2 linked regions of the Drosophila melanogaster genome follow. The protein of the gene in region 2 purifies or fractionates together with the protein of the main gene of each other region. This does not show direct contact. Each region holds a gene or a part of one and is shown on either strand. Other genes may lie near its edges.

Evidence for each region.
Region 1: the proteins of Ent1 (region 2) and CG14717 purify together in Drosophila melanogaster (affinity purification with mass spectrometry, with the first as the bait; one large-scale study listed by BioGRID). This does not show direct contact.

Annotation. Positions count from the first base shown.
Region 1 is NT_033777.3:11,694,734-11,699,090, forward strand, and holds CG14717 (uncharacterized protein), read left to right. Parts: upstream 1-1,775; 5' UTR 1,776-1,912; coding exon 1,913-2,833; 3' UTR 2,834-3,594; downstream 3,595-4,357.
Region 2 is NT_033779.5:354,992-359,856, reverse strand, and holds Ent1 (equilibrative nucleoside transporter 1), read left to right. Parts: upstream 1-1,982; 5' UTR 1,983-2,170; coding exon 2,171-2,434; exon of another isoform or gene 2,435-2,528; intron 2,529-2,665; coding exon 2,666-2,966; exon of another isoform or gene 2,967-3,019; coding exon 3,020-3,490; exon of another isoform or gene 3,491-3,544; coding exon 3,545-3,939; 3' UTR 3,940-4,292; downstream 4,293-4,865.

The sequences.
Region 1 (4,357 bases), on a different chromosome or scaffold from region 2:
GTTCTTGACTGTGGCAAAGAGAACAAGCATTCCAGAATATTAGAATATTATTAGAATCCTAATATTAGCATATTAGAATATTATTAACTTATGTCAAAGAGAATTCTTAGTTACTACTCCAACCCTCGAAACGGTTATGTGCTGCTGGTGGATGTCTTGAATATTATACACAGTGCTTTCGAGACAGCCGTGACACGAACCGTTTTCGGAAAATAACCGGTTAGCAACTCGGTTTTTAAACCTGTCACAAAGTTCTTTTAAATTTTAAGTTTTTTAGTTTTGTTAATTAGAAATTCTCTAAGGTTATATATATTTAAAAAATGTTCTGCTTAGTTGTATTCAATGTCAAATCATTTATTATTTAAGTTATTCAACCGAAATAGCATTTATGCCGTTAGTCTCCTCCAATCTGTTGCATGCATTTGTTTTTGTTTATAAGTGACTCTCTGGGAGTCCTGCTGCGTATTCCGCTCTCCTGCTGAATAGGGTTCAGTGCACCTGCGCGGATAATTACGCCGGCTTTTTGCTCCCAATCGGAATCTCTCTAAGATTTTGATGCTATGGAGATGAAAGGCATTCCCCCAATTCGGGCAAGTATTTAGCCGCGTGGCAACAGGACAGCGTCCAAGGCTTAGAATGGAATGCGCTGACAGACTGAGGTAATCCTTTGATGGGAATTCGGAGGTCTGATTCCCCGGGGGGTCGTATCCAGCATTCGGAGGATTTCATTGTCGCTAAACTTTTCAATGGGGCTGATTGGAAAAGGGGCAAAACACGACTTCAACTGTGGGTTTGCATTCGAAAGTTCGTTTTTATGGCTCCAAATGAGGTTTCCAGTTTATTTATTTAGTTCGTTTTATGTTCTTCCAAGCCAGCGGAGTACTACTCAAGGGTGCTTCATTGTGTCAATAGCCTGAAATTGGATATGAAGTGCCTTCGATACTGTCAAACAGTAAGACAGACAGCTGCCATGAAGTGTACCCACTTTAATGGCTAAATCGAAGTTCAAAAGCGAGGGATTCCGGGTAAAAATAGTTTGAAAATTTGCATTCATTTCTATTCCAGCCATTAGACGGCGTCCGTTGGCTTGGTTTTCAAAAACAAACGAACTTCATCTTACGATTTGTGCACCAAAAAAAAAGAATATTCAAGTAACAAGAAATGTCTCAGACCATTTGTTTGTCTCTGTGTCTGAGCACTCGCCAAGATTTATGCCCTCTGTGATGGCAAACTCAGCGCACTCACATTATGAAAATGTAAAAATGTAAAATATGAAAATGTGGAAATTTGAATTTACTCCCCCTTCTCGTAGAGCTGTTTCTGCCATTTCCTAATTTTCCACGCAAATGCATTTTATTTATTACGCAATTTGGGGATTTGCACTGCCAGCCGCAATTGTAAGCGACATAAAAGCGCTTAGACTCCGACTCCGGAGCGTTAAACGAAGCATTAGCCCCAGTGGATTACGGCTAATACCATTGTGTCCCGAGACGACGGACGCTACGGGGCGTATACGGAATATCCCAAGGTACAACTCGAGATGTTGTCTGAAATAAATAAATATGAGAATAAAAGTGTTGCTTTTATGCAATGGCAAGGAATAACAACCGCATTGATGTATGCCATTACGATATTTTTAAACTGAAAACAACACAACTACTATGATAGTATTGATTTGATTTATTCTTTGTAACATTCGATAGAATTCGTTTTAAACTGTCAATAGAAACTGAATAAATCAATGTATGCCAAGTTTTAAAATGTAGCATGATTTCGTTTGAACTTTTAAATTGTAGAGATTTCTCTGAATTTCTAGCAAAAAGAAATCATTTTTACATGGATAACAAAAGAAAACCCAGCTTTTAATGTAGTTCCCTGCAGAACTGACAGCTATTCTAAATTTTCGGAAACCATGGCAAGACAGCGACTTCTCGGCTCGATCCTTTCCAAAGGCGGAGCCCAAGTGCTGCGAAACTTCCAGTCATTTGTCCAGGGCACTCGTTTGGAGTATGTCTCCTACACCTCGCCGCGCAATCAGATGCAGGCGCCACCAATTGTGGTGATGCACGACCTCAATCTGTCACTGGAATCCTGGCGCCAGGTAGCTGTTAACCTCAGTCAGGTTGGATTGCGCCAGGTGATCACCGTGGATGCTCGGAATCATGGCCTTAGTCCTTACATAACCGGGCATTCGCCAATGCACCTGGCCGCCGACGTGGAGGCCCTGATGAGCCACCAGAGACTGAACAAGATCGTTGCACTTGGACATGGAATGGGCGGTCGGGCAATGATGACACTGGCACTCACTCAGCCGCAACTCGTCGAGCGGGTCATACTGGTGGACATCACACCAGCACCGGTGCCCAGTAACTTCTATCTCACTCGGCAGGTGTTCGAGATGATGCTCCAGGTGGCGCCCAGTATTCCCTCAAATCTATCACTTTCCGAGGGGCGTACGTTCATCCTGCCACTGTTCCAGGATGTGGTCCACGACGCCTCCGAGCTGCGTCGCATTATTTACAATCTGCGCAAGATGCAGGACAACACCTTTGGCTGGGCAGTTAATCCCCAGGCGGTCCTAAGCTCCTGGGGGGAGATGATGATCAATTACGAGGCCACTTTGGGCGGACTGCGTCCCTACATGGGCGAAGTCTTGCTCATAGCCGGTTCCCAGTCGGAATTCGTGACCACGACCAGTATTGCCGTGATGCAGAGATACTTTCCAAATACAGTGGTACAGATTCTGGATGCTGGACACTGTGTGTATGAGGATCAGCCGGAACAATTTGTTGAACTAGTCGTGGAGTTTACTCAAACATGCTTAGTATGTTGAAGAAACACCTATTTGGTTATCGTTTAAAGTGACTTTTATATAAAATTGGCATTGCTATATTGGCTGATATTTCAGCACTCAATATACTCCACCGATAATTGCGCTGTCAGCAGAATGGAAACCGCAGAAAAAAAGGGCTGAATGGCATGACCATTTGTGGCGGGCGGGCTGTTGCCAAAATCGATGGGAAATCAACGTGGCAGGCAATCGAACCGATACCGAGTACCCGATACAGGTGCTCCAAGTGGAAGCCAGGAGGTTTGGCACACAAAGGCCAATCCCTCAACCCGCCAATTTGCCAATAAAGCAGCTGAAGACGAAGGTGAGGTGAAATGCGCCACAATGCGATACAATTTAGATTTATATGCTTTGTCTGATTTATTTGTATTGGACGTGTGGGCGATGGAGACGTCTGTCTGACTGGCTTTTGTGTGTCTGCTCGTGCCTCAAAAGTCGATAATCTGTGTCCCGGCGAGTGGGGTGCTCATCTACACCTCGGAGCAGCTCTTATTGCTGAAATTGAGTCATGACTGAGATTTGAATGTGCAAATGTACACAGCAGCAGCGACTTGAAGTTGTTTGCCCAAACTCCGTGCCTTTGTTCTGGCTTTAATGAGGATTACGTGAAATTTCATTATGCTTCGTAATAAATAAGTAGCAAGTCAAATAAACAGGGACTGGCAAACACACACACATTCCCACACACTCCGCAATGAATGTACATACCATCTCAACTGGATGTGCGTACGCACTACGTACCGAAACCATATTAAAATTTAGACACGTACACATTTTATTGCTTGTTATTTTGCCTCTATGTGTGGCAGCTGCATAAGCCCAAAATGCTGTGGCACTGTGGCACTGTGGCTCAACTTCCAGGGTTTTCTACTCCCATTCACATCTATGTTATGAGGCCTGCGGTCCTGACCTTAACTTCACCTGGGAGATTTGATAAAACAATATTATTTCCTGGAAATAAACGAATTACCCCAGCTGAATACATACATGTTTAAAACTATTTCAGCGTTAAATGCTTAACAAAACCAAATCTATGAGTATAAATGGCTATAATTGCTGCTGATGGACTTGGGGTATTATATCCTTATAAAGCCCCGTGCCCCGTAGAAGTGCAGTATAATACAGTTAAATACCTAAGTGCACTCATTCCATTAAAATGGATTGCAGCCTATGCTGAATGCGTGCAATTCATCTCAATTAAATGTGTATTACATTTTATGAATATTGATTTTCAACGCCCCCCTCCATTAATTCGACTTTGTGCGGGATGCAGATACTTCATACTTCATTGGCAGATATGTAGGTGGATAGGTGTTTTCGATACCCAATGCGCACCTGCACCTTCCGATTCGTGTCAGTTTATTCAGGTAGATTGCTGAGCTGAGCTGAGCTGAGCTGTGCTGCGTGTTTACTCTGCTCCAGCAGGCAGCCAATTCATTAGCTGTTCCTACTTCGCCTTTGCTGCAAATGGAAGGAAAGACAACATGAATGCTGCACACAGTGCGT
Region 2 (4,865 bases):
TTTTTTTGATATCATTCAAAAAGTGTTTTGGGTGGTTAGTTTAGGTCAATAGCTATTCAAAACAGTAAGAATTTTGGTTGTGAGACAATTTTAAGCCAAGTTTCGAAAAATGATTGCAATGAAAGTGTGGAACTTAAGCTAATCCTAACTTTTTGTCATAGAAAAGTCATTATTTTTCGCATAACATTCCAAAAAATGATCGGAGAAAAAAGTGATATGCCTTGTTGAATTCGTAATAAAATTTCCAATCGAACTGCATTCCAACTTAGAAATTGTATTTTTTTTTCAATTTTTCGCCAAAAATCATAATCCAAAATTTTAAAATTGGGTAAATTTTTTTTTTACCATTCAAAAAGTGTTATGTACCGAATCCCGTATATACGGGATAAATTAATTAATTAATAATATTAATTTTTCCGATGACAATGTAAATATTAAGTGCATGTATCCCTCGTCAGCTTTCCTGCTAAACGGCGGCTGTCAAGCATTCCAGCCAACTGCCACTTGGATACCCAAAAAGCCAGAGATCTTTAGGAGGAAACCAGAACAAGATCACCTCGGGTGGTCGGAGGACGTCACTCAAATTGAAGTCCGGCAAATGAGATTTGCCCGGCACCGGAGTGTAGAGCATGCAGAGAGGGCGAATGGAATCCATATCCGCAGCCCAATCTTCATCATCTTCGTCTGCGAGTTGAAGTTGTTGGATTTTTAATTAAGCGTGGCCTGCACCCGAGGCTTTTCGTCGAGTAGCTCTTCGGGACACGGGAAGTACGGCGATCTCGGCGGAACAGGTCTTGTTAGTAATTTTTAATTTGAGCTCTTCTGACAGCCAGCTGTCATATAAATTTAATTGAATTTACATTTTTATTAATTGCCAAGTCTGCTAGTGAGCCCAGTCTCGATCTCGTAGTGCTACCCGTTGGCATGAATGGGAGATGAGTTGCTTAAGCCGACTGGCTACTCATCAGACCATCAGCCCATCCACATCAACATCCCCATCCACTTCCACTCTCTGAATGAATTTAATTTGAGATGATTTGTTGATGGTTTCGTTGTGGTGATTTCTTGCTGACTAATTTAATGTGATTTTTAAATTGCCAGACCGAGGCAGAGTGTGTGGCCTGCGCAGGGGAATCAGAATCTCATCGGGAGATTGATTGGGCTCATGGGAGTGGGGGCAGCGTTTTTACGGAATTAATGAGATGACACGCCTCTCGCTGGGATGCGAAACCCCCTCGTGATCATTATGAACTAATCTAATTTGCAAGCCCGCGATGACAATCGAAGACGGAAGAGAAGTCCCCTCGATCCTTGCCCACCTGGGCAACAGCGCTAACGAGGACGCTTCTCCTCGAAGGCCCCCTCCAGTTTAATTCGCAAATCAAACAACCGCAGGGCAGAGATCGGAAATTCGCGCATAAGTAAATTAAAAATAAATTTATGTCCCGACCAGTGAGGGGGTCAGGAAACGCATGTCCAGAGGGAAGGAGCGTGTGTTAACCGGTTTCGGGACGAACGCGAATGCAAATCCAATTAAAATTTCGCAAGCGATCAATGGGCGAGGGGTGGAGGGCGGATCGCATCCTGCGAATGGCGCTAAGCCGTAAAACGAAGCTGTGCGCTGATTTAAAACACTGCGGGGCGTGCTTATTGATTAAATACAAATTGCGTTCATTCATCATCAGCTCTAGGGTCTGCTTGATATTGGTGTTTTTATTGTTGCTGCTCTGGCTGGCAATTAAATTACGATTTGAGGTGGATGCTACGCTCGTTTTGCAAATAAAATCCAATTTCACAGTCCTCTAAAATATAGGACTAAGATGCAAAACTAAGATGCAGTTTGAATCCCATCACATTTCGCGCCAAGGGCTGCCAACCTGGGTGAACGGTTTTGTGGTGTTAGTGCGATATCTTAGATATTTTCATTTAATCGATTCCTCTCGATAAGCCATCGATATTTTTTGTATAATGTCTTGCTTTGTTGTTTACAAATTCGTTTTTATGTTACGCAGTTCGTCCGTGCTAAATGATACACATGAAAGTAAATTGCATCAGATTAAGTTACATCGAATACTTCTCCACAATTACAGATGTGAATAATCCGCCAGAGGTGTTGTAAATTTATGAATACCAAGGGCTGCGTACAAAACAGTAGTGCAATTCAGTGGCAATGCCAGGCACCAGTGACACACGACGACTGGTGGACGCCCTGGACGAGGATGACGAGATTCTGGGCACGGAGGGCAGCTTCGTTCCCGCTTTTCGTCCGCAGGACCACCATGCGGATGAGCAATGTCTCATGGAACGCCAGCAGGACGAGGTAGTTTTGGTGTCCAACGAACCCGAGAGTGGACGACTCTTCACCTACCTCGTGTTCTACCTGTTGGGCATTGGTACCATGACCCCGTGGAATTTCTTTGTGACTGCGGAAGATGTAAGTTTAACGAGTGGAAATTTCCGCACCCGCATCCTAGTCAATTTAACTGAACTTCGGACATATCAATTCCAAACAGCTGAACAACTGGGCCAAGCGCAATTCTAAGGCGCGGTGCTTATCAGCTTTGTCGTCGTTTCTTTACGACCCACACCCAGACGAAAACTCTCTTTTTTGATTTTCTTTGTTTTCCGCTGACTTACGCTTTAACCCTGTTCGCTTCTCTTTCAGTACTGGAAGTACAAGTTCCGGAATGCATCGATTAATAACACAGACCTGGAGGAAGAGCTCACCCCGTTGCAGAAGAGTTTTACCTGCGACTTGGCTCTCACGGCCACTATTTCTGGGACTACATTTCTGCTGCTAAACGCCATTTTCGGACACCATGTGTCCCTGCGCACCAAGATGTTAGGAACGCTGTGGATGATCCTCATCCTTTTCGGGGTTACAACTGGCTTCGTGGAGATCAACACAGACACGTGGCAGGAACAGTTTTTCCTAATCACTCTCATCATTGTAGTGCTGCTAAATAGTGGGTACCATGAAGTACTCCTTGAGTGTTTACTTAATATTTATTATATATAGTATCTGCGGCTACAATGTCGGGAGCCCTCTACGGAGTCGCTGGTCTATTTCCCTCCGAGTTTATCACCGCTGTGGTTAGCGGACAGGCTCTTGGTGGTATCCTCACAGCCCTGGCCTTCATTCTTGTGCTTGCATTCGACACGGGTCCCAATACCACTGCATTCATCTTCTTCATTGTGGGAGGAGTGCTCATCCTGCTTTGCATTGTGTGCTACGTAATCCTGGCTCGAAAGCCTTTCTTTAGGTATTATCTCGAAGGTGGCGACAAGTACAAGGTCATCCGGGCAGTGCCCTCGCACAACCGGAATGGAAGCGCTGAGGGCTTGCCGCTTGAGCCTATTTTGCGTCAGGTCATGTCGAAGATCTATCTGCATGCCATTTCCCTAGCGCTCCTCTATACCACGACCCTGTCTGTCTATCCGGCAGTTACAGTGCTTATGCAGTCAGAGTACGGCCACAGCGTGTGGACAGGTAAACAGAAAACCTATTCTTTTTGTTCGTGCCTCATATGCGGTGTTCTTACAGATGTTTATTTTCTGCCCGTCGTGAACTACCTGATATTTAACTGCGGTGACTATTTTGGTCGTCTGTTTGCTGGCTGGATGGAGCGACCATTAAACCAGAACACTTCGCTACTATTTATTGTAGTGCGCATGGCGTTTGTTCCGTTATTTCTATGTTCAAACTCCAGCGAACACAGCTTTCTGCCAGTTTTGGTAAAACACGACTATACTTTCATAGCGATGATGGTAATGTTTGCCTTGTCCAACGGATATTTTACGAACATACTACTTATAATGGCGCCTAAACGCGTAAAGCAGCATGAAAAGGAGCTGGCTTCGTCGATAATGGCAGCTGCTTTGAGCTGTGGCATGGCTGTGGGATCACTGCTCAGCCTTGTATTTGTTCAAATGCTTTGAATTAGCCAACAAAATAAGTCTGCCCATAGTGCCTTCGGGAGTTTCAGAATCTTAAGCATTATAGTGATAGTTAACTTGATATTGGTTGCTCTTCCAACTACTTAGGGGGTGTTAATGTTTTTACTTTTGTTACAAGTCTACTGACTGAAATTATTTACACAGCGAAATTTTATTTAAATTTTTTCCAAAACGAAGTGTTATTTAATATTTTGAGTTATTTTGATGCTGTGTGTTGTTTTCCAAATTTTACTCATTTTTTATTTTAACAAGTTTACTATATCGGGATGCCTAGATTTAAGGTTTAAAGTTTTCATTATATACTAGGAATAAGACGATATTAAAAAAATTAGAACAATTAATTTTTCTTGTTTAACGTTTATTTCGGGTTTTCTGTGGATCACAACAACAATGTGGATAGATTTTATTGGATTGCTTTTGTCATTAATCATTGAATTAATTAATGAACTCCATCGTAGCGCGGTCTGTGAAGAGTTGTGTTTAAAATATACTTAGACTAGAAATCTAGTGGCGAATTGTAGTATGTGCATATATCGAGGGTATACTGTACCTATAAGTACACAGCAACACTTAGTTGCATTGCATAAATAAATGTCTCAAGTGAGCGTGATATAAGATCACCCATTTATGCTTTAAGCTAAGTCAGCATCCCCACGCTGGCCGCTGGCCATATATGCGCATAAGCTCTCTCTCTCTCTCTCTCTCTCTCTCTCTCTCTTATACATATATATATACGCTGCTCTTCTGCCGCTGTCGACGGCGGCGCAGTCGCAGTATTTAGGTAAGATTAGACACTCTGTAGAGGTTAAGCGGGCAGAACCGTTTCTGCTACTCGAAGAGATAAGAAGAAATAAAAAGGTGGCCTGACGGCTGCACCCAACTGCAAGGAAAACACGTGTTCTCAATTG